2 linked regions of the Anolis sagrei genome follow. The protein of the gene in region 2 purifies or fractionates together with the protein of the main gene of each other region. This does not show direct contact. Links are inferred from orthologs where the notes say so. Each region holds a gene or a part of one and is shown on either strand. Other genes may lie near its edges. The genes, in order: MED24 and CDK19.

Evidence for each region.
Region 1: the proteins of CDK19 (region 2) and MED24 purify together in Homo sapiens (affinity purification with mass spectrometry; 6 studies listed by BioGRID and IntAct, counting the BioPlex papers as one, with this or other methods). This does not show direct contact. The link is inferred for Anolis sagrei from reciprocal best matches to the Homo sapiens genes CDK19 and MED24.

The regions. Positions count from the first base shown.
Region 1 is NC_090026.1:40,874,415-40,886,330, reverse strand, and holds the start of MED24 (mediator of RNA polymerase II transcription subunit 24), read right to left. Parts: upstream 4,865-11,916; 5' UTR 4,793-4,864; intron 1-4,792. UniProt on the Homo sapiens protein: Component of the Mediator complex, a coactivator involved in the regulated transcription of nearly all RNA polymerase II-dependent genes.
Region 2 is NC_090021.1:93,109,326-93,121,030, reverse strand, and holds the start of CDK19 (cyclin-dependent kinase 19), read right to left. Parts: upstream 5,482-11,705; 5' UTR 5,201-5,481; coding exon 5,073-5,200; intron 1-5,072.

The sequences.
Region 1 (11,916 bases), on a different chromosome or scaffold from region 2:
TGAACTTGTGAAAACTGGATCTGTTGGACATGCTGCATCATGCAGAGTGGAATTTTTTGCAAAATGGAAAATTTCCAGTGCTTTACTTTGCCTTGGAAAATTTCCAATTCCTCCACACACAGTGACATATACATTTATTCATAGTTGTCTGGGCTGCTGTACTGAAATCAATCAAGTTAGATGGGCTAACTATAGGATATGAACTTCCAATTATTCCTCCCTCCACAGAACCAAGTCTTGACAAGCCTGATGCTTAGAGGAATAAACTAGACACATTGCAAAGTTTGTTTCTATTTCGCAAAACTTCCTATATCCCAAACAGTCAAGACAAAGTGTAAAAGGTTGCCTGTGACCATAGATTCTCATCCAGCCTTTAGTAAGACTGAAGTTGAATTAAATCAGACGTTTCTCAAAATGAAAACGCTGCAGTGATATCTCTGCAATTGTGGATGTAAGATATATCTGTTTCGGTTCTGTGCAGTGTTGTTTTGGAAACTTTGGCTGTTTGTACATATTGCACTTATCATTGTAAACTCCGCAAGCAACTTTCATTGCAAACTGCAGTACAACTCCCATATCCAGAGGGATACATTCTTGGACTTCAGGTGGAAACAAAACTGGCAGAATCATACCATAGAATGGTACTGGAGGGCCTAAAAATGCCTCAAGATAACACCTCTCTAGGACTTTTAGGTCCTCCAGAGCAACTACTGTCAACTTCTAGCAGACGCCTACCATAGAATCATGATGGAGTATGTTTTTGGACATAAGCAAGTGGAACCTCAGCTATTTGTCCAGCGCATAAGGGAGCCCTACTTATATGCTGTATCTGTTTCATTATTACTCCTATTCCAATGGGGAAAAATTCCACATTAACCTTTAGAAGTTTGTCAATGAGACATGCTAAATAATGTATTCTTATTAAGAACACTGGAAACATTTCTACTTTTCAGGAAAACCCACATTACTGATATGAATTAGGCTTGTTTTCACCTATGCTTGAAACCTTGTTCTGCCCTTCCTTCTGACCAGTTAGGAGAACTCCAGAAATTTATTTTGATTTTCCCTTAAACTTGGTTTATTGGGAACCACATCAGCTGTAGAAGCCACAATAGGAAATCAGATAGCTTTGAAACAAACTATAGTTGAGGGAAAACCATGACCCCTGTTTGAACACAAATTGAAAATTAGTTTGTGGAATCCTGGAATTTGTAATTGGGGGAGGGGGGGCACCAGCATCCTTTGGCAACAAAAGCTCAAGACCCTATGAAAGTACAACTCCTGTGATTTCACAGCACTGAGTCATGGCAGTTCAAGTGATACCAAACTTCATCAATTCCACAGTGTAGATGCACCCTAAGCCATGCTGTTAATATTCACAAATGATCTGAAAAAGCAAGAAGAGGCTGGTAACGAAATTATTCAGACCCAATTGTTTGCTTGAAAGTAATGTATAACATTATTTCTTGTCACCTCTAGGGGTACTGAAGGCATGGCTTCTTTTGTTTTGTTTTTAAAGAAAATAATGGTTCCTTTTAAAAAAATACTATTTATTCATTACTCGTAAAACACTGCTATTGTACGAAGCATTTGGTGATATATCTTGTCCTTTAAAATGTATGTTAATAGGAATACAAAATACCTAAAAAGCAAAACAATAGTAAGTAGTAGCATCAGCAGCAACTGTAACCAATTTCTTTTTTAAAAAAACATTCCAAGCCCAGTTCAGAATGGAAGAATCCAAAATGACTAACAATTCCAAACAGATCTCTCCAAACTGGTTAAACAGGCAAAAATCAGGTGAAGTTCACTGGTCCAGTGTGACATACATGTACACAGATTCACAATGTGGTGAACAAATTAAAAATTATGGGTGGATTGATGCACTCTGAATCATTTTGTAAAGGTCATCATAGCAAGTTCAAATAAACAATCCAAATATGCATGATAACAGTAAAAATGGCATATTTCATAGCCTAAACCCTAACTAGAAAGGATCCCAAATTTGTTCAGAAGAGGTTAGCCTTTTCCGTCCTCTGAGACTGAGGCCCCTTCTACACTGCCACATAATCCAGATTATCAAAGCAGATGATCCACATTATTTGCTTTGAACTGGATTATATGAGCCTACATTGCCATATAATCCAGTTCAAAGCAGATTTTATATGGCAGTATATAAGGGGCCTAAAAGAGTATGACTTGCTCAAGGTCATTAAATGGGTTCCATGGCCGAGAAGGGATTCAAACCTAGTTTCCAGAGTCATAATCCAATGCTCAAGCCACTGAACCACACTTGGCTCACAAGTGTGGTCATTCAGGAGTGATGGAAAGCTCCTCTGGGAATTTCAATCAATTGGTCTTAACCCTGACAAAGGCTAAGACCTATTGATTTGGGCCACTTGAGAGCTTGTTTTTATTTTTGTTGGGAAATTTAATTTATAGTCCTAGCCCCCTTCCACACAACTGCATAAAATCCACATTGAACTGGATTATATGTGTGGACTCAGATAATCCAGTTCAAAGCACATACTGTGGATTGTCTACTTTGATATTCTGGGTTATACAGCTGTGCAGAAGGACCCCTATGGATACATACTTCAGGTACAAGGTCATTTTGCATTTTTGATCCTTCTCTTTAAAAATCAACTGAAGCTGGATTTACACTGCCATATAATCCAGTTCAAAGCAGATAATCTGGATTTTATATGGCAGTGTACATGGAGCCTGGGAAAATATATACCAGAGGGTGTACCCACTGTAGAAATAATGTATTTTGACAACATTTTACCTGCTGTGGCTCAATGCTGTGGTTTCACAAAGCCTTCAGCCTTCTCTGCCAAAGGGGGCTAGTGCCCCCAACCAGACTATAACTCCCATAACATAGCGCCATAGCAGTTAAAGTGATATCAAGTTGATTAGACTGTAAATGTAGGCTGAGAGGCTACATATCTCCTACCACCGGTTTCTTGAAAGCTAATTTCATCTGGATCATATGCTTACAAGGAATCTTACAAAATAGAAAAAAATAAAATATTAGCCTATGGAGACCTAAGAGCTGACACTCACGACCCTTTCACACCACCATATAACCCAGAATATAAAGGCGGAAAATCCCAAAATATTTGCTTTGAACTGGGTTAGAGAGAAGGATATTAGAGGCAAAGATGAAGTACTTTGGCCACATAATAAGATAGGAACGCTTGGAGAAGATAATGATGCTGGGGAAAATGATGCTGGGAGAAAGGAAGATGGGCCAACTAAGGACCAGATGGATGGATGGTATCCTTGAAGTGACTGGCTTGACTTTGAAGGAGCTGGGGGTGGCCACAGCCAATAGGGAGCTCTGGAGTGCTGGTCCATGAGGTCACGAAGAGTCAGAAGCAACTGAATAAATAAACAACAAGTATTATCTGAGTCCACACTGCCTTATATTCCAGTTCAAAGCAGAAAATGGGGGCTTTATTTAGCTGTGTAGAAGGAGCCTCAGTGTACATCTACACCGTGGAATTGATGCTGTCTGATACCACTCAAATGTTATGGAATGATGGGAAATGTAGTTTCACAAGGTCATTCACCCTCTCTGCTAAAGGGTGTTGGGCTTTCACCAAATCACAATTCCCAGAATTCAACAGCATTCATCCAAGGCAGTTAAACTAGTAACTAACTGCATTAAGAGTATGGAAAGAAAAGGGGAAAAACATTATTTAGTATCACATAAAACTCACTGTGGTAGTTAGGTTGCAATATCATACAATCATATTTAGAAAGCCCAATTTAAGGTGCAGGTGCTTACCTACAAAGCCCTAAACGGTTTGGGACCATCCTACCTGTGTGACCGCATCTCCGTTTATGAACCCACGCGCACACTTCGTTCATCCGGAGAGGCCCTGCTCGTGATTCCGCCTGCGTTGCAGGCGCGTTTGGTGGGGACGTGAGACTGGGCCTTTTCTGTGGTGGCCCCCCGACTCTGGAACACCCTCCCCAAAGATCTTAGGCAGGTCCCTATATTGGCAGGCTTTAGAAAGAACTTGAAGACCTGGCTGTTCCGATGTGCCTTTCCAGAATAGGAAAACTCCAATAACAAGTCCCAGAAGCACTTTATTAGAATTAAGACTACTGCACACCGCACACTGCACTTACCCTATAATCCTTACATATCACCTGTCACATCAGCACTTTTAATTCTGTACCCATTACTCTTGCCCGGCCCAGTTTTATTGTGTCTTGGTGTATTGTTTATTGCTTGTTGTTTAATATTGCTTTGATTGTTTTTAATTTGCTTTAGGTTTTGTATTGTTGTGTTGTTTTTTGAAGCCTTGGCCTTTGTAAGCCACATCGAGTCCTTCGGGAGATGCTAGCGGGGTACAAATAAAGTTAATAATAATAATAATAATAATAATAATAGAAAATGCCTTGTTTTTGAATAGACATGTAGAACTGCTCTGGCAAAGTTTACATTTTGCATTAAACTTAAGTTACATCGTAAGACCATGTGGATTCTAGTAAAACAAACTCCTTGCAAGACTAAAAACAGGTCACTCATATAGTGAACAAAACTCAAGAGGCCCCTTCTACACTGCCATATAATCCAGATTATCAAAGCAAATAATACACATTATCTGCTTTGAACTGGATTATCCGAGTCTACACTGCCATATAATCCAGTTGAAAACAGAGAATCTGGATTTTATCTGGCAGTGTAAAAGGGGCAGACATAATAACCAAAGGGGGTTTGGTTATTAAAGTGGAGAAAAACTGAGGATTCTTCATTGTTTTCCTTTGGTCCACTTACCTATTCCTTTCCCTATACAAAGAAACACACGCCTCTCAGTTCCTGGATTCCGCCATTTTCCCACTTCGCAAAGAGCCGTGCGCTAATTGGCTGGCGCGATCCCTAAGGCGCAAGGGCTGGTGGGGGATGTAGTTTATTTGAATCCAATGGAGTGTAATGGGGTTTTTGAAGGAATTATTCTATTTGAGGGAGAAAAAGAACATAATAGAAAGGCCATAATAATACCAAGGAGCACAGCTACAGTCTGCTTACTATAATGAACTCACACAAACTAAAGTAATAAATAAAGAAAATAAATCTGCAAACTCCATACTAACTATCCTTTATTATGTGAATACTTTTAAATGAGATAATATATACACACACACACACACACAATTTTATATATATATATATATATATATATATATATATATATACCCTGTGGCGCAGTGGGTTAAAGCACTGAGCTGCTCAACTTGTTGACCGAAAGGTCGCAAGTTCAAATCCAGGGAGCAGGGTGAGTTCCCGCTGTTAGCCCCAGCTTCTGTCAACCTATTAGTTCAAAAACATGCAAATGTGAGTAGATCAATAGGTACCGCTCCGACAGTAAGGTAACAGCGCACCTTGCAGTCATGCCAGCCACTTGACCTAGGAGATGTCTATGGATAACGCCGGCTCTTCGGCTTAGAAATGGAGATGAGCACCACACCCCAGAGTCGGACACGACTGGACTTAATGTCAGGGGAAAACCTTTACCTTTACCTTATATATATATATATATAGAGAGAGAGAGAGAGAGAGAGAGAGCTCTCGGTTAATCAGCACCCATGAGGATTAGTAGATGTCAAATAAACATAATTTCTGCTTGCTTGAGAGTTACTATTAAAATTGACCTAACTAATACTACATCCCATACTATGTCATATCATAAGCTCTGTACTGACTTGATATTGAAATACAGTCACTGAAATCAAATAAAAACAAATGTAATGTAACACAGTTTTACTGTTTTACTGTATCACACTTTTAAAATGTAAATAATAATAAGAGGAAGAATAATTTTATTTTTCTACCGCCTCACCTCGTGGCTCGAGGCGGGTTACAGAATAATTGGAACACATTGTTTTGTTGATTCCGTCGCTTCCGACTCTTCGTGACCTCGTGGACCAGCCTATGCCAGAGCTCCCTGTTAGCCGTGGCCACCCTCAGCTCCTTAAAGGTCAATCCAGTCACTTCAAGGATACCATCCATCCACCTTGCCCTTGGTCGGCCCCTCTTCCTTTTTCCTTCCTTTTTCCCCAGCATCATTGTCCTCTCTACTCTTTCCTTTCTTCTCATGATGTGGCCAAAGTATTCCATCTTTGCGTCTAATATCCTTCCCTCCAATGAGCAGTCGGGCTTTATTTCCTGAATTATGGACTGGTTGGATTTTCTCGCAGACCAAGGCACTCTCAGAATTTTCCTTCAACAACAGAGTTCAACAGCGTCTATCTTCTTTCACTCAGTCTTCCTTATGGTCCAGCTCTCACATCCATAGGTTACTACGGGAAATATCACTGCTTTAACTATGCAGACCTTAGTTGTCAGTGTATTGTTTCTACTCTTCACTAATTTATCGAGACTGGTCGTTGCTCCCCTCCGAAGAAGTAAATGTCTTCTGATTTCCTGGCTGCAGTCTGCGTCTGCAGTAATCTTTGCACCTAGAAATACAAAGTCTGTCACTCCTTCCACGTTTTCTCCCTCTATTTGCCAGTTGTCAATCAGACTGACTGCCATAAACTTGGTTTTTTGATGTTTCACTGCAACCCAGCTTTTGCACTTTTTTCTTTCAACTTGATTAGAAGGCTCCTCAGCTCCTCCTCGCTTTCAGTCATCAAAGTGGTATCATCTGCATATCTAAGGTTGTTAATGTTTCGTCTGGCAATTTTAACTCCAGCCTTGAATTCATCAAGCCACACATATCGCATGATGTGTTCTGCATACAAGTTGAATAGGTAAATATTGTAAAAATGCCACTGATACACATACTAAAATGTATTTATATAAAAGATACATAATTTAAATGTAAAACATTATTTCTTTTTTTAAAAAATGCCAGTTGCTTGAGTTGCGGGCCCCTTCCAGACAGGCCCTATATCCCAGGATCTGATCTCAGGTTTACTGCTTTCAACTGGATTATATGAGTCTGCATGGAGCCCCTGGTGGGTTAAACCTCTGAGCTGCTGAACGTGCTGACCGAAAGGTTGGTGGTTCGAATCCAGGGGGCAGAGTGTGCTCCTCCTGTTAGCCCCAGCTCTGCCAACCTAGCAGTTCGAAAACATGCAAATGTGAGTAGATCAATAGGAAGGCAACAGCACTCCATGCAGTCATGCTAGTCTATTCGGCTTAGAAATTGAGATGAGCACCACCCCCAGAGTTGGACACAACTAGACTTAATGTCAAGGGGACAGCTTCACCTTATATGTGCCTGCACTACTAGATAATCTGGGATAAACAGAAAACCTGGGATCCGATCCTGGGTTATAGGGCCTGTCTGGAAGGGCCCCCAGTTAATGGAGGTCCCTTTCACAGAGCTGTATAAAATCCACATTGAACTGGATTATATGGCAATGCGAACTCTGATAATCCAGTTCAAAGCAGATATTGTGGATTAAATTTCCAAAGGAATATTTGCAAAGAAGAGTTTATTAGAGGCTTCTAAAAAAATAAGAGTTAAAGTTAAGGAAGAACACTTAAACCAACTGATATGGCATAATACAACCTAAAGAACATAATCACAGAATTTAAAGATAATGTAAAAATAGATTTTGTACAACTAAGCCTATTTGACTAGGAGCCAGAAGAACTCTGGACTGAATCCAGAGTGGAAAAGACGAAGAGGAAGGTGGGGGGAGAGAAATAATATCTGAATCCAAAAAGAAAAAAGAGAAGCCTTAACACAACTCTTTATCAATGGATATATGTAACTCTTCAAGCAGTTAAGGACAAACATGGAGCAAAGTAAAAGGCAACAAGTAATAGAGTCAAAACCATGAATGTAACTGTTAAATTACTTGTGTACAAAGACAAGGAGAACTACTATCATAATCAATGCAAATAAATAAAAGGTAAAAACAAAACAGGAAGCCCATGAGACCTATTCTACAAGATCTAAGAGTTAAAGGGAAATTTAAACCAAGATTAGGGGTGCTCTATAACCAGAAGGGGAACGCATTATATGACCAAGAAAAAATGAAAAGATAATGGAGACAATATACTGCTGGATTATATAAAAGAGATGAAAGGATGGCAGATTTATTCAATGAAGAACATTTTGTATTTGACCTTATACTTTTAGAAAGAAGAATTGAAGCTACACTCAAGACACTTTGGGCCCTTCCACACAGCCATATAATCCAGGGCCTTTCCACACAGTCCTATAACCCAGAATACCAAGGCAGAAAATCCCACATTATCTAAGTGTGGACTCTGATAACCCAGTTCAAAGCAGATATTGTGAAATTTTCTGCCTTGATATGCTGGGATATCGGGCTGTGTGGAACGACCCCCAAAATATCAAGGAAGATAATCCACAATATCTGCTTTGAACTGGATTATCTTAGTCCACGCTGTCAGATAATTCAGTTCAATGTGGATTTTATATAGCTGTTTGAAAGGGGTATTGGAAGAAATTAATCACCAGGACCAAATTATATCCCCAGAGACCTGCTTCAGACTAAGAGAAATAATAAATTTTTACTGGAATAATGCATGAAGCCGTTATTAACTGTGAAATTTTACTGTAAGTGTGATGATTGTTGTGATGATTGTTGTGATATTGGCATCTATTTGTTGCCTTACTGTGTAAGCCGCCCTGGGTCCCCTTCGGGGTGAGAAGGGCGGGGTAAAAGAACCCCAAATAAATAAATAATAAATAAATATACTAGCTAAGAGAAAGAATATATAATCATGCTGACAAAAATCTGACAACAAATATGAAAAACAAAGCAATGGCTCACAGATTGGAAATATTCAATGTTCATTTCAATTTCCAAGAAAGGAGACACTGGTGAGTACCATAACTGTAGGACCTTTGCATTAATTTCTCATGTAAGCGAAATAAAATTATTCAACACAAGCTTTTACCAGAAATTAAGCAAGAAATCCCAGAAGTCCAAGCTGGGTGTTCAGGAAAGGAAGAGGTACTAAGGATCACATTGCATGCCTATGCGAGATAATGAAACACACAAACGAATTTCAGGAAAAGCCTCTGATTTATAGATTATAGCAAAGACTTCGATTGCGTAGATGATGAAAAATCTGGGGTTAATTTTAAATAACTGGATGTTGCATAACTTGTACTCAGGATAAGAAGCTACCATCAGGACAGAAACCAAGGCTGTCCCACATTATCTAGGGATTTCCGATCCTTAATGCTGGGTATTTATTTATCGTGTCAGGCAACCGAACAGTTGCATTACATTTTTAACATAACAAACAAACATACAAAAAGTTTGCAAGCTTGGTAGTTGACTAAATGTCCTTTGACCAGTAGCTGGCCACTTGGAGTGCTTCTGGTGTTGCCGCAAGGAGGTCCTCCATTGTGCATGTGGCAGGGCTCAGGTTGCATTGCAGTAGGTGGTCTGTAGTTTGCTCTTCTCCACACTCGCATGTTGTGGATTCCACTTTGTAGCACCATTTCCTAAGGTTGGCTCTGCATCTCGTAATGCCAGAGCACAGTCTGTTCAGCGCCTTCCAAGTCACCCAGTTTTCTGTGTGCCCAGGGGGGAGTCTCTCATTTGGTATCAGCCATTGATTGAGGCTCTGGGTTTGAGTCTGCCACTTTTGGACTCTCGCTTGCTGGGGTGTTCCAGCGAGTGTCTCTGTAGATCTTAGGAAACTATTTCTTGATTTAAATCTGGGTTAGCCCAATTTACCCAGCATTTAAGTCGCTTCAACCAGAAGCGACTTAAATGCTGGGTAAATTGGGCAAACCCAGTTTAACCCAGCACTAAACAAAGTCAACAAATGGGAAAAAGACAAAATGGCATAGTTTAGAGCAGCCCTGTACTTAAGGGTGTATGTAGACAGTACAACAGGCTGCAATCCAAACCAGTTCACTGTCCACATGAGCCACGGCCGCTATTCCCTTTTCCCTGCACTTAGTGGTGCAAGGAAAAGAGGATGGATTGGGGACACATGATTGCCATTATTATTATTATTATTATTATTAACTTTATTTGTACCCCGCTAGCATCTCCCGAAGGACTCGATGCGGCTTACACGGGCCGAAGCCTCAAATACAATACAATAGAAAACATAACACAACAATAAACAAAGCAAATCAAAACAATTAAGCAAAATAACCACAATGACAATACATCAAGACACTATTAAAACTGGTTCGGCCAGCGCAATGGGGTACAGGGTTAAAAGTGCTGAGATGGCAGGAGGAACGTAAGATTAAAAGTGCGGTGTGCAGCAACAATAGTTGTGCTAAAGTGCATCTAGGACTTGGGATGGGGATTCCTAATCTGCGAAGGCACAACGGAACAGCCAAGTTTTTAGGTTCCTTCTGAAAACTGCTAGAGTAGGGGCCTGACGAAGCTCTTTTGGAAGGGCAATCCAAAGTCGGGGGGCCGCCACAGAGAAGGCCCTGTCCCGTGTCCCCACCAAGCGCGCTTGCGACGTAGGTGGGATCACGAGCAGGGCCTCTCCAGATGACCGGAGTGAGCGTGTGGGTTCGTAGATGGAGATGCGGTCACGCCACAACAGATGGATGCGGCCATTGCCACAACAGATGGATGGAGATCTCTTAGTTATCACTGGGCAGCTTCCCTCTATCGCTGTCTGCTGTGGCAATAAAAACAAGACAGCCTAGCAGTGCCAAACCAGCTTGTGTGGTTGGACTCCACCCCACTACTGCCACAGGTCAGAGACAGAGCATCTCTATCGCATCCAGTGCCTTTGACAACACATGCTTCAGTACTTTCTATGGCCTGGAATATGACCTAAGGGCAGCAGGCTATCTTACAGCATGAAAGGGAAGGTTAGAAAACCCATTCTGTCTTTCCTTAGCTTCCTGCCACCAGCATCTCCTGCATAAAAGCAGCATTTGGGCTCTGTTTAATATGAAGCACAGCTATATTTCACCAGTAAGGATATTAAAGACGGACACCGTTTCACTGGATAAAAAGCCTGCTTTTCCCATCAAGGAATTTGATAACATTTTCTTTCAATCTCATCTTCCGTGCCTTTCCAGAAAGTCACATTCTGTCTGTCTGTGGTTCTCACGTCTCTGACTATTCCAGCATCCATCTCTGTCATGTGCTGGTCTGTTTCTAGTGGAGGACTCTGCAGTGTTCGCCATCTGCCTGGAAAAATCAAGCAGCAACATGAAAATGAAAGTGAGGAGGTGGAGATTGATTCACCGAACGCGGGAGCCTGCTGAGCTGTCGGCTTCCTTGCCCAAGGAATGGATGTTGCCACAGATGTGACCTAGACTTTCTTGGAAGATAGTTTACACAGTGAAAGAGATCATGATTTTGACAATGTCAAGAGGCCATCTCCTGCAGTCCCCTATCCCCAAAATGAGGGCTGTGTGTTGGTCACAATTCTGTGGGATGGCAAAATCTGTCTGTGATACAGTGTAGAATTTCATTTATAGAGTACTAGCTGTACTCGCCACGCATTGCTGTGGCCAACCTTCCCTCCTTCCTTCCCTCTCTCTTTTTCTTTCCCTTCTACTTTCTCTTCTTCTTTCTTCCTTCTCTAACTGTTTCTTTCCCCCCTTCCTTTGCTCTTTGGTTCTATCCTTCCTTGTCTCTTTCCTTCCTTCCTTCCTTCCTTCCTTCCTTCCTTCCTTCCCTCTTTCTCTCTTTCATTCCTTCTCTCCTTCCTTCCCTCTCTTTCTTTCCTTCTTTCACTTTTTTATTTCCTTCTCTCCTTCCTTTTCTACCTTTCTTTCTTTCCTTCCTTCTCTCCTTCACTCCTTCTTTCCCTCTTTTTCTTCTTCCTTCCCCCTTTCTGTGTGTATGTGTTTTGTGTGTGTATATATGAATATATGTGTATATATTTATTTGTGTATATATGTTTATTTGTGTATTTGCATGTATATATGTGATTTTGCGCATGCGTTGTAATATATACAGAGTTTTCTGTTG
Region 2 (11,705 bases):
TTATGGTTTGTGAGAGGTGCAAGAACTCAGGATGGAGGTCTTGTTGTAGCCACTGTGTCCCCATCTACACTGATCATGTAATTTCAAACCAATACTGAAGAAAGTGTATAGATTGCTTACACAGGAAATTCTGGAAACACTTTAAGGCCCAGATGATGACACCAACCACAGAGAACATATGTACATTAAGCCTTCCTTTTGCATGAGTTTGAAGAAGCTAGTTTAGATCCAGTTTATTTGAAGGATCATCTCTCTCTCTCTCCACAAATCTGTCAGATATCTATAATCACAAGGGGAGGGCCTTCTCTCTGTCCACACCCTCTGCTCAAACCCATTTGGTGGGAACAAGGGACTGGGCCTTTTCGGTGGCTGCTCCCAGACTGCAGAACTCCCTCTCATGAGAGACCAGGATGGCCCCATCCCTGCTTGCGGTTCGCAGGCAGGAATCAGTAACTTAAACATATTTCTAGTTTAAATAAAACAATTTAGAACAGTGGTTCCCAAACTTTTTTTGACCAGGGACCACTTTGACCAGTTACCACTCTCCAACATTAGTACCAAAAGGGTTACGAATCAGTTTTTGGTCAACTTTAGATTTGGTTTGATTATTTGGGGTGCTGATTCAGAAAATTGCATTGGATAGACTACATCAGCACTAGTTTTTGATAAAAGAACATATGCCAGTCATCAGTCGCCATCTGCTCACCCACAGAAAACCATATTTAATAAGCCTTGGCATTATAAAATAATTTTGAGAGATCAGTTGCTCTCATTGCAACGGTGTAGTAACGGCGAGGCCGTGGACCATATTTTAGTTCTCGTGTCCCATTGGCGGTGCATAGACCATAGGTTGGAAACCATTTATTTAGAAATTCTAATTCGATGTATTCCAGTCTAGATAACTTCAGTTTAACTCACAAGCCTTTAGTAGCAAGGAAAGATAAAAATGATACACAGGCAGCCCCCAAATTACAAACAAGATAAGTTTGTTCTTAAGTAAAATTTGTATGTCAGTCAGAGCAGATACATTTTTGAAGTTTTAACTCCAGCCAAATAAATATATAAATAAGCTTTGAATAGCATAGGGAAGAGTAAACATCCCTTAGGTGTTTGTTTTGCTGTCTATGCCCCTATTCAGAAGATTTCACCTCACTTTCTGTCCCTGTAAGAATAGAATTTTGAAAAATTTGGCTTGCTATGGAAACACGGATTAGTGAGAAAGCTTCAGTGGAGACACCTTTTCCCCATGATGATATCTCTTCCAGAAGTGTTGTCAACAGCTTTCATATAATCATCATATTATAGAGGTGGAAGAGACCACGTGGGCCGGCCAGTCCAACCCTTTGCCAAGAAGCAGGGAAATCACATTCAGAGCACTCCCAACAGATGGCCACCTAGCCTCTGTTAAAAAGTCTCCAAAGAAGGAGCCTCCACCACACTCCAAGGCAGAGGTTTCCACTGCTGAACAGCTCTCACAGTCAGGAAGTTCTTCCTAATGTTCAGGTGGAATCTCCTTTCCTATTTTTTGAAGCCATTGTTCAGCATCCTAGTCTCCAGGGCAGCTGAAAACCAGCTGGAATCACTGGGTTGCTGTGAATTTCCAAGCTGTATGGCTATGTTCCAGAAGCATTCTCTCCTGACGTTTCACCCACATCTATAGCAGGCATCCTCATAGGTTGTGAGATCTGTTGGAAACTAGGCAAGTGAGGTTTATATATCTGTGGAATGTCCAGGGTGGGAGAAAGAACTCTTGTCTGCTTGAGGCAAGTGTGAATGTTGCAACTAGTCACCTTGATTAGCCTTGAATGGCCATATATTTTCAAAGCCTGGCTGACACCTACACCCACAAACACACTTAGATTTAAAAAAACCCTAAAGGTTGCTGTGAGTTTTCTGGGCTGTATAGCCATGTTCCAGAAGCATTCTCTCCTGATGTTTCACCCACATCTATGGCAGGCATCCTCTGAGGTTGTGAGGTCTGTGGGAAACTAGGCAAGTGGGGTTCATATATCTGTGGACGTTTGCCCACATCTATGGCAGGCATCCTCAGAGGTTGTGAGGTCTGTTGGAAACTAAGCAAGTGGGGTTTATATATCTGTGGAATGTCCAGGGTGGGAGAAATAACTCTTGTCCGCTTGCGAAGCATTCTCTCCTGTCATTTCATCCACATCTATGGCAGGCACCCTCAGAAGTTGAGGGGTCTGTTGGAAACTAGGCAAGTGAAATACACTTCCAAGGCTAACACCTCAATGGTTTTTGTTTGGCTCCCTGTGCCCCTTTTTGGAAGATTTCACTTCACTTTCTGTCCCTGTGAGAATTGGATTTTGATTTGGATTACTGTCCTGAGGTGGGTTCTGTAGGTTTATAATTAAGTTGAATTTATATGTCAGTCAGAGCAGGTATATTTTTGAAGTGTAATTCCGGGCAAATAAATAAGCTTTGGATAGCATAGAGAAGGGTTGACACCTCTGTGGTATTTGTTTTAGTGCAGGGATCCTCAAACTAAGGCCCGAGGTAAGGTCATTTACCCAGCCCTGCGAGTGTGGAGAAGAGCAAACCACTGACCACCTGCTGCAATGCAACCTGAGCCCTGCTACATGCACAAGGGAGGACCTTCTTGCGGCAACACCAGAGGCACTCCAAGTGGCCAGATACTGGTCAAAGGACATTTAATCAACTACCAAGCTTGCAAACTTTGTGTTTTGTCTGTCTGTTTGTTTGTTTTGTTTTGTTAAAAATGTAATAAAACTGTCTGGTTCCTCCTGACATGATAAATAAAATAAAAAATAGCTCAGGGTCAACCTAAGTCTGAAACGACTTGAAAGCACACAGCAACAACAATAACAATCCTGTCTCATGAGCCAAAAGCAGGCCCACACATCCTATTGAAACACTAATAAGTTTATATTTGTTTAAATTGTTCTTCATTTTAATTATTGTATTGTTTTTATGTGTTTTCTGCACTACAAATAAGATATGTACAGTGTGCATAGGAATTAATTCATGCTTTTTTCAAATTATAATCCGGCCCTCCAATAGTTTGAGGGACTGTGACCTGGCCTTCTGTTTAAAAAGTTTGAGGACCCCTGCCTTAAACTCTTAATAACTGCCTCAGTTCTCTTTTCATGAGATATCCTCCTTTACTTCATGCATTAAATCACTACTCACTGAGAGGTCATGACTTCAAAGCCAGCCTGGGTCGGAGTGAGCTCCCGACCATTAACGGTCAAGCTTGCTGTTGACCTAGGCAGCCCAAAAGACTGTTGGTTTTTAAATGCTGTATGTTATTGATATTGCTTATTGCTTATTGTGTATTTTTTTGGTTTTGAGTTTTTATTTTATTTTATTTTAACTGTTTTGTATTGATTATTTGTTGTCGCCTTTGTTTATTGATGTGCTGTGGGCTTGGCCTCATGTAAGTCGCACCGAGTCCCTTGGGGAGATGGTAGCGGGGTACAAATGAAGTTTTATTATTATTATTATTATTATTATTATTATTATTATTATTGAGTAGGAAATTTAGGTACCGTTTTATGTGGGGAGGCTAATTTAACTAATTTATGACACCATAAAACCTTCCAGCAGCATGCGTAAGAATGAGGAAGTACTCCATCAATGACTTGGTGTCACAAGTGGACGGTGACACCCGAGCTGGAATGTTAAATTGCCTCTGTGTCTGTCTATATGTGTTGTACGTCTAATGGCATTGAATGTTTAAAAAGTTTGGTGACCCCTGTTTTCGTGTCTGTGCTCCTGTTCAGAAATGTTCACTCCTGTGCAGGTACAGCTGTACCAGGAGCTCCAATTTTGTTTGCTTTGCATTGAATGTTTGTTGCAGTCCTGAGTTTCAGGGGCTCTGTAGATAGGTGACTTCTTTTGGCTGCAATCATAGGGCAAGCCACCTGTCAATTATAGTTAGGTTCCCTGGTCCCACCCCCTTTTGGGTTTTGGGGGGAATAGGAGCCAGTTTGGGTTCAGTCCACACAGCGAAGACTTTCATGCAGGACATAATACCAAGAGCTCCTGTAGAAAGCTTCGTCTTCTACAGCTTGGCCAGGGAGATATACAGCCCACGGCTTGGCCGGGGAGATATACAGCCCACAGCTTGGCCGGGGTTGTACAGCCCTACAGTTCCTTTGCTGAGGGACTTCAGCCAGCCATCACCGAAACCTGAACTCCTTTTTCCCTGGAAGTCTACAAAGCTCTGCTTGGTAAGGGTCGCTTGCGGAAGCCAGACACAGTTGGTACCGGGTGCAGGGGCAAAGACAGACTGTCCAGATTAGAAGTTAAGGATTTCCCCATTAGTTAAAATACCAGTCATGAAGATAGTGCCTGTTCCCTGTGGACAAGATTGAAAGAGCCTATAGACTGTTAAGAAAGCTTTAAAGTACCTGTTTGTTTTCATTAATAAAGAACTCTGTTGAACCTTTAAGCAATCTAAAGACTCTGCTTTAAGGAAATCCAAGGGCCTTTAATCTGAGGCAGCCCCGGCGTCCCGCTGGGCACACAGAATTTATGTCCTGTCTACAGTCTTATGCACAGGCCCAGCGTGCGACAGCACAGTATTGTATTGTTGTATTGTGGGCTTGGCCTCATGTAAGCCACACCGAGTCCCTTGGGGAGATGGTAGCCGGGTATAAATAAAGTTTTATTATTATTATTCACCCCACTTTCTGTCCCTGTCGAATTGGATTCTGAAAGAAATTGGGTGAAAGCTTCAGTGGAGACACCTTTTCTCCATGATGATAACTCTTCCAGAAGTGTATTTCCTTTCCAAGTGGGAGATTCTTCTCACTTCCATACACACAAAGATATACAGATATATATACATTAGGCAGGGGCAAACTTGGGCCCTCCTGGTGTTTTGGACTTCAACTCCCACAATTCCTAGCAGCCTCGGGCCCTTTCCTTTCCCCCCTCAGCCGCTTAAGCGGCTGAGGGGGGAAAGGAAGGGGCCCGAGGCTGCTAGGAATTGTGGGAGTTGAAGTCCAAAACACCAGGAGGGCCCAAGTTTGCCCGTGCCTGATGTGTAACCCCCTCCCCTCCCCTGCCCTGCCCGCCTTGCTCCTTACCCGTCCTTCCGCCGGGCTTTGTAGACGTGCCCGTAGGTGCCCCTCCCGACTTTGCAGCCCTCGTACTCGAAGAGGTCCTCCACCCGCTCGCGCTCGGCCGCCAGCTTGGATTTGAACTCGTAGTCCATGTCTCTCACCCATGGAAGGAAAGCGCGGGAGGAGGAGGACGAGGAGGTGGAGGGCGAGGAGGAAGAAGGGAATGGCGCTTAGGCGAGCGCGAAGGCTACCATTTCCTTGGGGTTTTTTGGAAATGTATATAAATATATATATTGTTTTTGTTTTTGTACGTGTATTATGAAGGGGGAAACACTTCGCTCCGCCGCCCGCTTCAACCAGGGCTTCCCAAGCTGTTCAGGCTCGCAAGGGATCCTGGGATTCGTAGTGCTCGGAGGAGGCAGAACTGGCAGGCGCTCGAGGAAGGTGGAGGGTGACGGGGACTACGATTCCCGGCGGCCCTCGCGGCGCGGTGGCTTCCCCGCGCCTGCGCGTTGCCGCCGCCGCCGCCGCGCACCCCCCTCAGAGTCATTCCTGAGCGGGTGCTGGGAAGTTGCTGACTCTTCACGTTGCGGGGCAGCGACGGAAGAGTCGGAGGGAGGAAGGGGAAACGTGGAGCGAGACCCGGGTCGGGCTTTTATTATGATAATAATAATTATTATTTTAACCGCCGAGCAGGATTGATGGAGAGCCTCGCGCTGCAGCTTGTTTATCTCCTGAGCTGTCATTCAAGCTTAGGCCCCGCCTCCCACTCGTTCGCCCGTCGCCATTGGCTCAAACTCGTCCCGCCTCCTCGCGCTTGACCACTGAGGCCGCTTCGAGGACGAAACTGAAGCGCGGAGCTACTTGTCAATCAATGGAAGAGGCGGGGCTTTCAGAGGCAAAGGCTCCCTCCCTCCCTCCTTAGATGTAAAGCTACGAGGCTTCTTCGTGTTTCCCGCCCTTCCCCCTCCCCAAACATTCTGAGAATGGCTCTGGTCACGTGGCCTCCGCTCCATTCCTGAACCCGCCCCCCTCCCCCCCATTGGCTGGTTGCTTTGACATTGCTCAGTGATCGCGATAGGTTGAGCGTCCCTTATGCTAAGCCAGCGTTTGGAGGTATCTGTGTTTACATAGACGTACATTAGATAACTTGCAGATGGGACCCGTGTCTAGGCACGAACGTCGTGAACACACATAACTTGAAGGTAATCTATATATATATAAATGCTCTGTGCATAATGAGTACCTCAAAAACAAAAGAACCAATGAACGAAATCACACCAAATTTGGCAACAAAACATTTCACAACACAAGGAGTGACCATCACTCAAAAATTATGATTTTGTCATTTCGGAGTTGTACTTGCTAGGATGTATAGTTCACCTACAATCAAAGAGCATTCTGGACTCCATCAACGATGGAATTGAACCAAACTTGGCACACAGAACTCCATGACCAACAGAAAATACTGGAAGGATTGGGTGGGCAATGGAGGAGTTGTAGTTCACCTCCATTCAGAGAGCACTGTGGACTCAAACAATGATGGATCTGGACCAAACTTGGCACAAGCACTCAATACGCCCAGATATGAACACTAGTGGAGTTTGGGGGGAAATAGACCTTGACATTTGGGAGTTGTAGTCACTGGGATTCACAGTTCACCTACAAAGAGCATTCTAAACACCACAAACGACAGCATTGGGGCAAACTTCCCACACAGAACCCCCATGACCATCAGAAAATGCTTAAGGCCATCCAATCCAACTCCCTTCATCGGGGCAAGAAAATGTAATCAAAGTCCTCCTGACAAAGAGCCATCCAGCCATAGATAGAGAGAGAGAGATATGGAGTTGTGGTTGCTGGGATTTATAGTTCACCTATAATCAAATACCATGATTAGAATTGAGCAAACCAGGGCATACAGGACTCCCATGACCAACAGAAAACACTAGAAGGGCTTGGTGAGCATTGACCTTGAGTTTGAGAGTTGTAGTTCATCTACATCCAGAGACTACCATGGACTCAAACAATGATGGATCTGGACCAAACTTGGCACAAATATTCCATATGCCCAAATATGAACACAGATGGAGTTTGGGAAAAATAGACCTTGACATTTGGGAGTTATAGGTTGAGAACCCCTGGCGTAGCGGATTAAACTGAGCTGCTGAGCTGCTGAACTTGCTGACCGAAATGTTGGTGGTTCGTATCCGGGGAGTGGTGTGAGCTCCCACTGTTATGCCCAGCTTCTGCCAACCTTGCAGTCCAATCAGTGAATAAAGCTCATAGAAAGAAAATGAAGTCATCTGAAATGTGTTGCTGGAGAAGTGTCCTGCGGATACGATGGACTACGAAAAAGACTAATAAATGGGTCCTATTGCTCTAGGACGCTCCATGTAACGGCGCTCCATGAAGTCACATTGGCCACATGACCTTGGAGGTGTCTACGGACAATTGAAATTGAGATGTCCATCACCTCCCAGAGTCAGACACAACTAGATTTAAGGTCAAGGGGAAACCTTTACCTTTATCTTTTATTGCTCTAGGCAAGCCTGAACCCTTCCATGATGACTAAATTGTGACTGGCCATGTCACAAGAAGACATGGCTCACTAGAAAACACAATAATGCTTGTTAAAATAGAAGGCAATGGGGGGAGAGGGAAAACCACATTACAAATGGATTGTCTCAGTCAAGCAAGCCACAGCCTTGAGTCTGTGGACTCGAGCAGGGCTTGTGATGGAAGGGCGTCTTGCAAGCCTCTCATTCATACTCTTACCATAAATTGGTGCCAATGTGAGGGCAATAAACCACCAGAGTGGCCTCTCTTTCTTCCCATAAGGACAAACATGTTAGGGTAATGCTGGGGGTGTCCTGAATGAGAAACCTGTTGACTTCCAAATCAACCTAGATAAATAATTATTGTCTCTGCTGGTTTGCCCCCATCTCTTTCTGGGAGTTTCTGCTCAGCTTTGTCACTCTCAAGGCATTAAGAAATGAATCAAGACATCATAAGAGGCAATCTGATGAAGCATTGGACTATGACTGGAGACCAGGGTTCAAATGAATGCCCTCTTAGTTATGGAAACCCACTGGGTGACCTTGGCAAATCACACATTCTCAGCCTTGGGGAGACAAACTCCATGATAGGTTTACTTTAAGGCTGCCATAAGTAAGAAAGAACTTAAAGACACAACAACAACACATAACATCTGCATTATATGGAAATCTCTCAATGTAATACTAGTGTCAGTTATCAAGCACAAGACCCACAATGCTTTCCCCTTTCCTTCCAGAAATGTAACAGACATTTTCATTTAATGTAAATGTGAAAAAACCCTCATACATCAAATGGTGGTAATAGAGGCACGATAGTATTCATTCTTTCCTTAATATATAGGATCCTGACAGGCCCGTAGTCAGGATTTTGTTTCGGGGGGGAGGGGGCTGAGTTTGGTTCGGGGGACTGAGTCTGAGTGAAAGAGGGTCTACCTTAGCAAACCTTTTGTATCGTTATCCCAATACCCCCATACATATGGGATATATTGAGTATAGTGATCAGATCATGATATGAATAAACATAGCAGTTTAAATAATGCACCAGTAAGGCCTTCTCGCGGACCACCATCAGAATTTGGGGGGGGGGGGGGGCTACATGCCTGGAACCTGACTGTATACATAGACCAAATGACAAGAGCAAAAGGCTGAATTGGTTAAGAAAAGTGGGTCAAGAAAAGTGTCTTTTTCTCCCAACACAGACTGGTGTGCCACAATGGCATTTGTTACTTAAATGCAGGTGGATAAACCATCTTCCAAACCTTACTTCAGCTATATAACACTTTTCACGAATAAAATATGGTATAGTGCAGCCTTATGTATGTCCACTCAAAAGCAAACCCTGGTAGCTGATGAGAGGCCCTCCCTCCATTTCAGGTGCCACTGCTGGACTTTGCAGGGAGAGAAGAGGAGGTCGTATCTGCTGGACTTAATCTCCTTCCCCACTGCTGACCCCTTTTCCTTGTCTGTTGCATGGTATTAAGCCTCCAGGCAAGAAATGGATGATTGATTGATTGATTGATTGATTGATTTATATCCCACTTTTCTCCCGTGGGTGGGATTCGAAGTGGCAAAAAATGGTTAAAAAATAGCAGAAATTACATGACACAGAAAGCAGAACATCACCGCTCAAATTAACAGATAAACAACACATTACATAAACCATATCTAACAAGCATAATAAATACAACACGTACCATTAAAAATTCCCTGGGCCTCAGGCCATTGAGGTTAAAAAACATTATAATAAGATCCTAGAAGCTCCACTTTTTTAGGCCATGTAAATATCGCCAAGTTCAAAATAGCCTTCGGTGATGTGCCTTACCAATAGCTGCCTGGTCATTGCCTATTATAGGTTATCAGAAAAGGCCTGATTCCACAAAAAGGTTTTAACTTGTGAGTGAAAGGCCAGTAATTGCACCTCTTTGGGAAGGGAGTTCCAGAGCCGCAGGATCACCACCGAGAAGGCCCTCTCTCTCTTTCCCATCAACAGCACTTGTGACAGCAGTGGGACTGAGAGAAGGGCCTCTCCTGATGATCTCAAGGCCCGTGTGGGCTGGTAAAAAGAGATGCAGTCCCTCAAGTAGGCTGGGCTCGAACCATGTGTAGCTGCAGTAGCGGAGTTCTTTCCCCATATCCCACCCCCATAAGCAGCTTGGCCACTGACCTTTGTTGTTTCCAAACACTTTTATGGGGCAGCCCCATGTAGAGCGTGTTACAGTAATCTAATATGGATGTGACTAAGGCATGTACTACCATGGCCAGATCAGGCTTCTCAAGGTGTGGGTGTCACTAGCCTCCTTCCACAAGATCCATCACTAGCCTCCTTCCACAAGGACCTGAAGACCTGGTGGTTCCAGCAGGCTTTTGGAAGTGATTAGCCCCAGGTCCTACCCTGGCCATCAGTTAGATCCCCACTCTGCACTCTACCCACATACCTGGCCCTCTGCTACCTCATTAGCCCTATTACAGCTATTCAACAGGCCCTGGAAATGACCATTAGTTAGAGCCCTGTTCTGCACATTACCCACTTCCCCGGCCCTATGTTTCCCTATTGGCCCAGCCCTCTCATATCTGTGCAGCAGGCCTTGGAAATAAATAGCTCCAGGTCCCATCCTGACCATCACGCAGGATCATGCTTGCACTTTATCCACTCTCCTGGCCCTAGTCTACTTTGTTGTACTAGCCCAGCCCTCCCATAGTTATCGAGGCCCACTCTGGAATCCTGGCCATTGGTAACTGAACTTGCCCAATAGAAATTAGTACTGAACTGGCTTTTAATTTTAAATATGTATGACTGTTACATAGTATGAAGCCTTTGTTTTATAATGATTATTCTGTATGTTTTTATGTCAGTAATTGCAATGCTTTACCTATGCTGGAAACCGCCCTGAGTCCCCTTGGGGAGATAGAGCGGTATACAAATAAATTATTATTATTTGAAACACAACAAGATGAGTCCACAGCAGACACTCTGCTGGCTGTTGAATTGGATCACACGTCGGACACTTCCCAAGTGTCTAGGACTGTGTGATGTATCAGCAAATAATGCGTGCAGATCCCAGTAAAGTGGCCTTCTGCAGCTGGCAGCTGGTAATTTTGTCAGCGCCGATTGTGTTTAAGTGCAGGCCAAGGACTTTAGGCACTGCACCCAGTGTTATTAACAATAATAATAATTATTATTATTATTATGAGTCCACAGCAGACATACTTTGTTTTTTAACATGATTGTGAGGTCAGGATTATTATGCTATTATTATTATTATTATTATTAACTGTGTGAAGGCCCTTCCAGCCACCGCCAACACCTGGGCCTCCAGGTTCAACTCTGAGTCCAGGAGGTTTCCTCCCTAGACTGCGAACCTATGCCTTCAGGGGGAGAGTGATGACATCCAGCAGAGGTTGCAGCCCAATACCCTGATCAGCCCTATGACTGACCAGCAGTACATCTGTCTTGTCTGGATTCAATTCCAATTTGTTCATCCTCATTCTCAGCTCATTCTCAGTTCAGGGTTAGGACAGCATCCTTTGCATCTTGTGGAAATGAGTAATAAAGTTGAGTGTTATCTGTGTATGTACAGATGGCACCAAACTCCAAACCCAACAGTTTCATGTTAAACAACTTGAGAGGTGGGGTATAAATCAAAAATTATAAATTGTAAAAATCAACAATTTCTATGAAGCTCTGGGAGCCCTTTTGGCTGAAGTATAAATATTATATATACTATATTCAAAGGGATATATTTATTTTTAAATATAAGCATTTTGAGGTTTGTAATTGCAATTCCAATGCACATTTTCTTGCAATTAAATCTCACAAAACTCAGCAAAGCATAGACCTCAGTAGAAATTTATAGAATTGCATTCCGAAGTCAAAAGAGAAAATGTCATAGTGGTAAGAGTTTCCTGTATTGACTGTAACAACATAAAAGGGATGGGCATAGCTGTACAGCTAAACAATATTGACCAAAGGTGAAACCACAACATTGAAGAAAACCATTTGACTTTTTAAAGCCCTTTTTTTGCAAATGTAGTTTGTCTTTGTTCCTAAACTTGATGATAAACCAAATAAATGTTTCTGTGATCTTGAGATCAGTCTTTA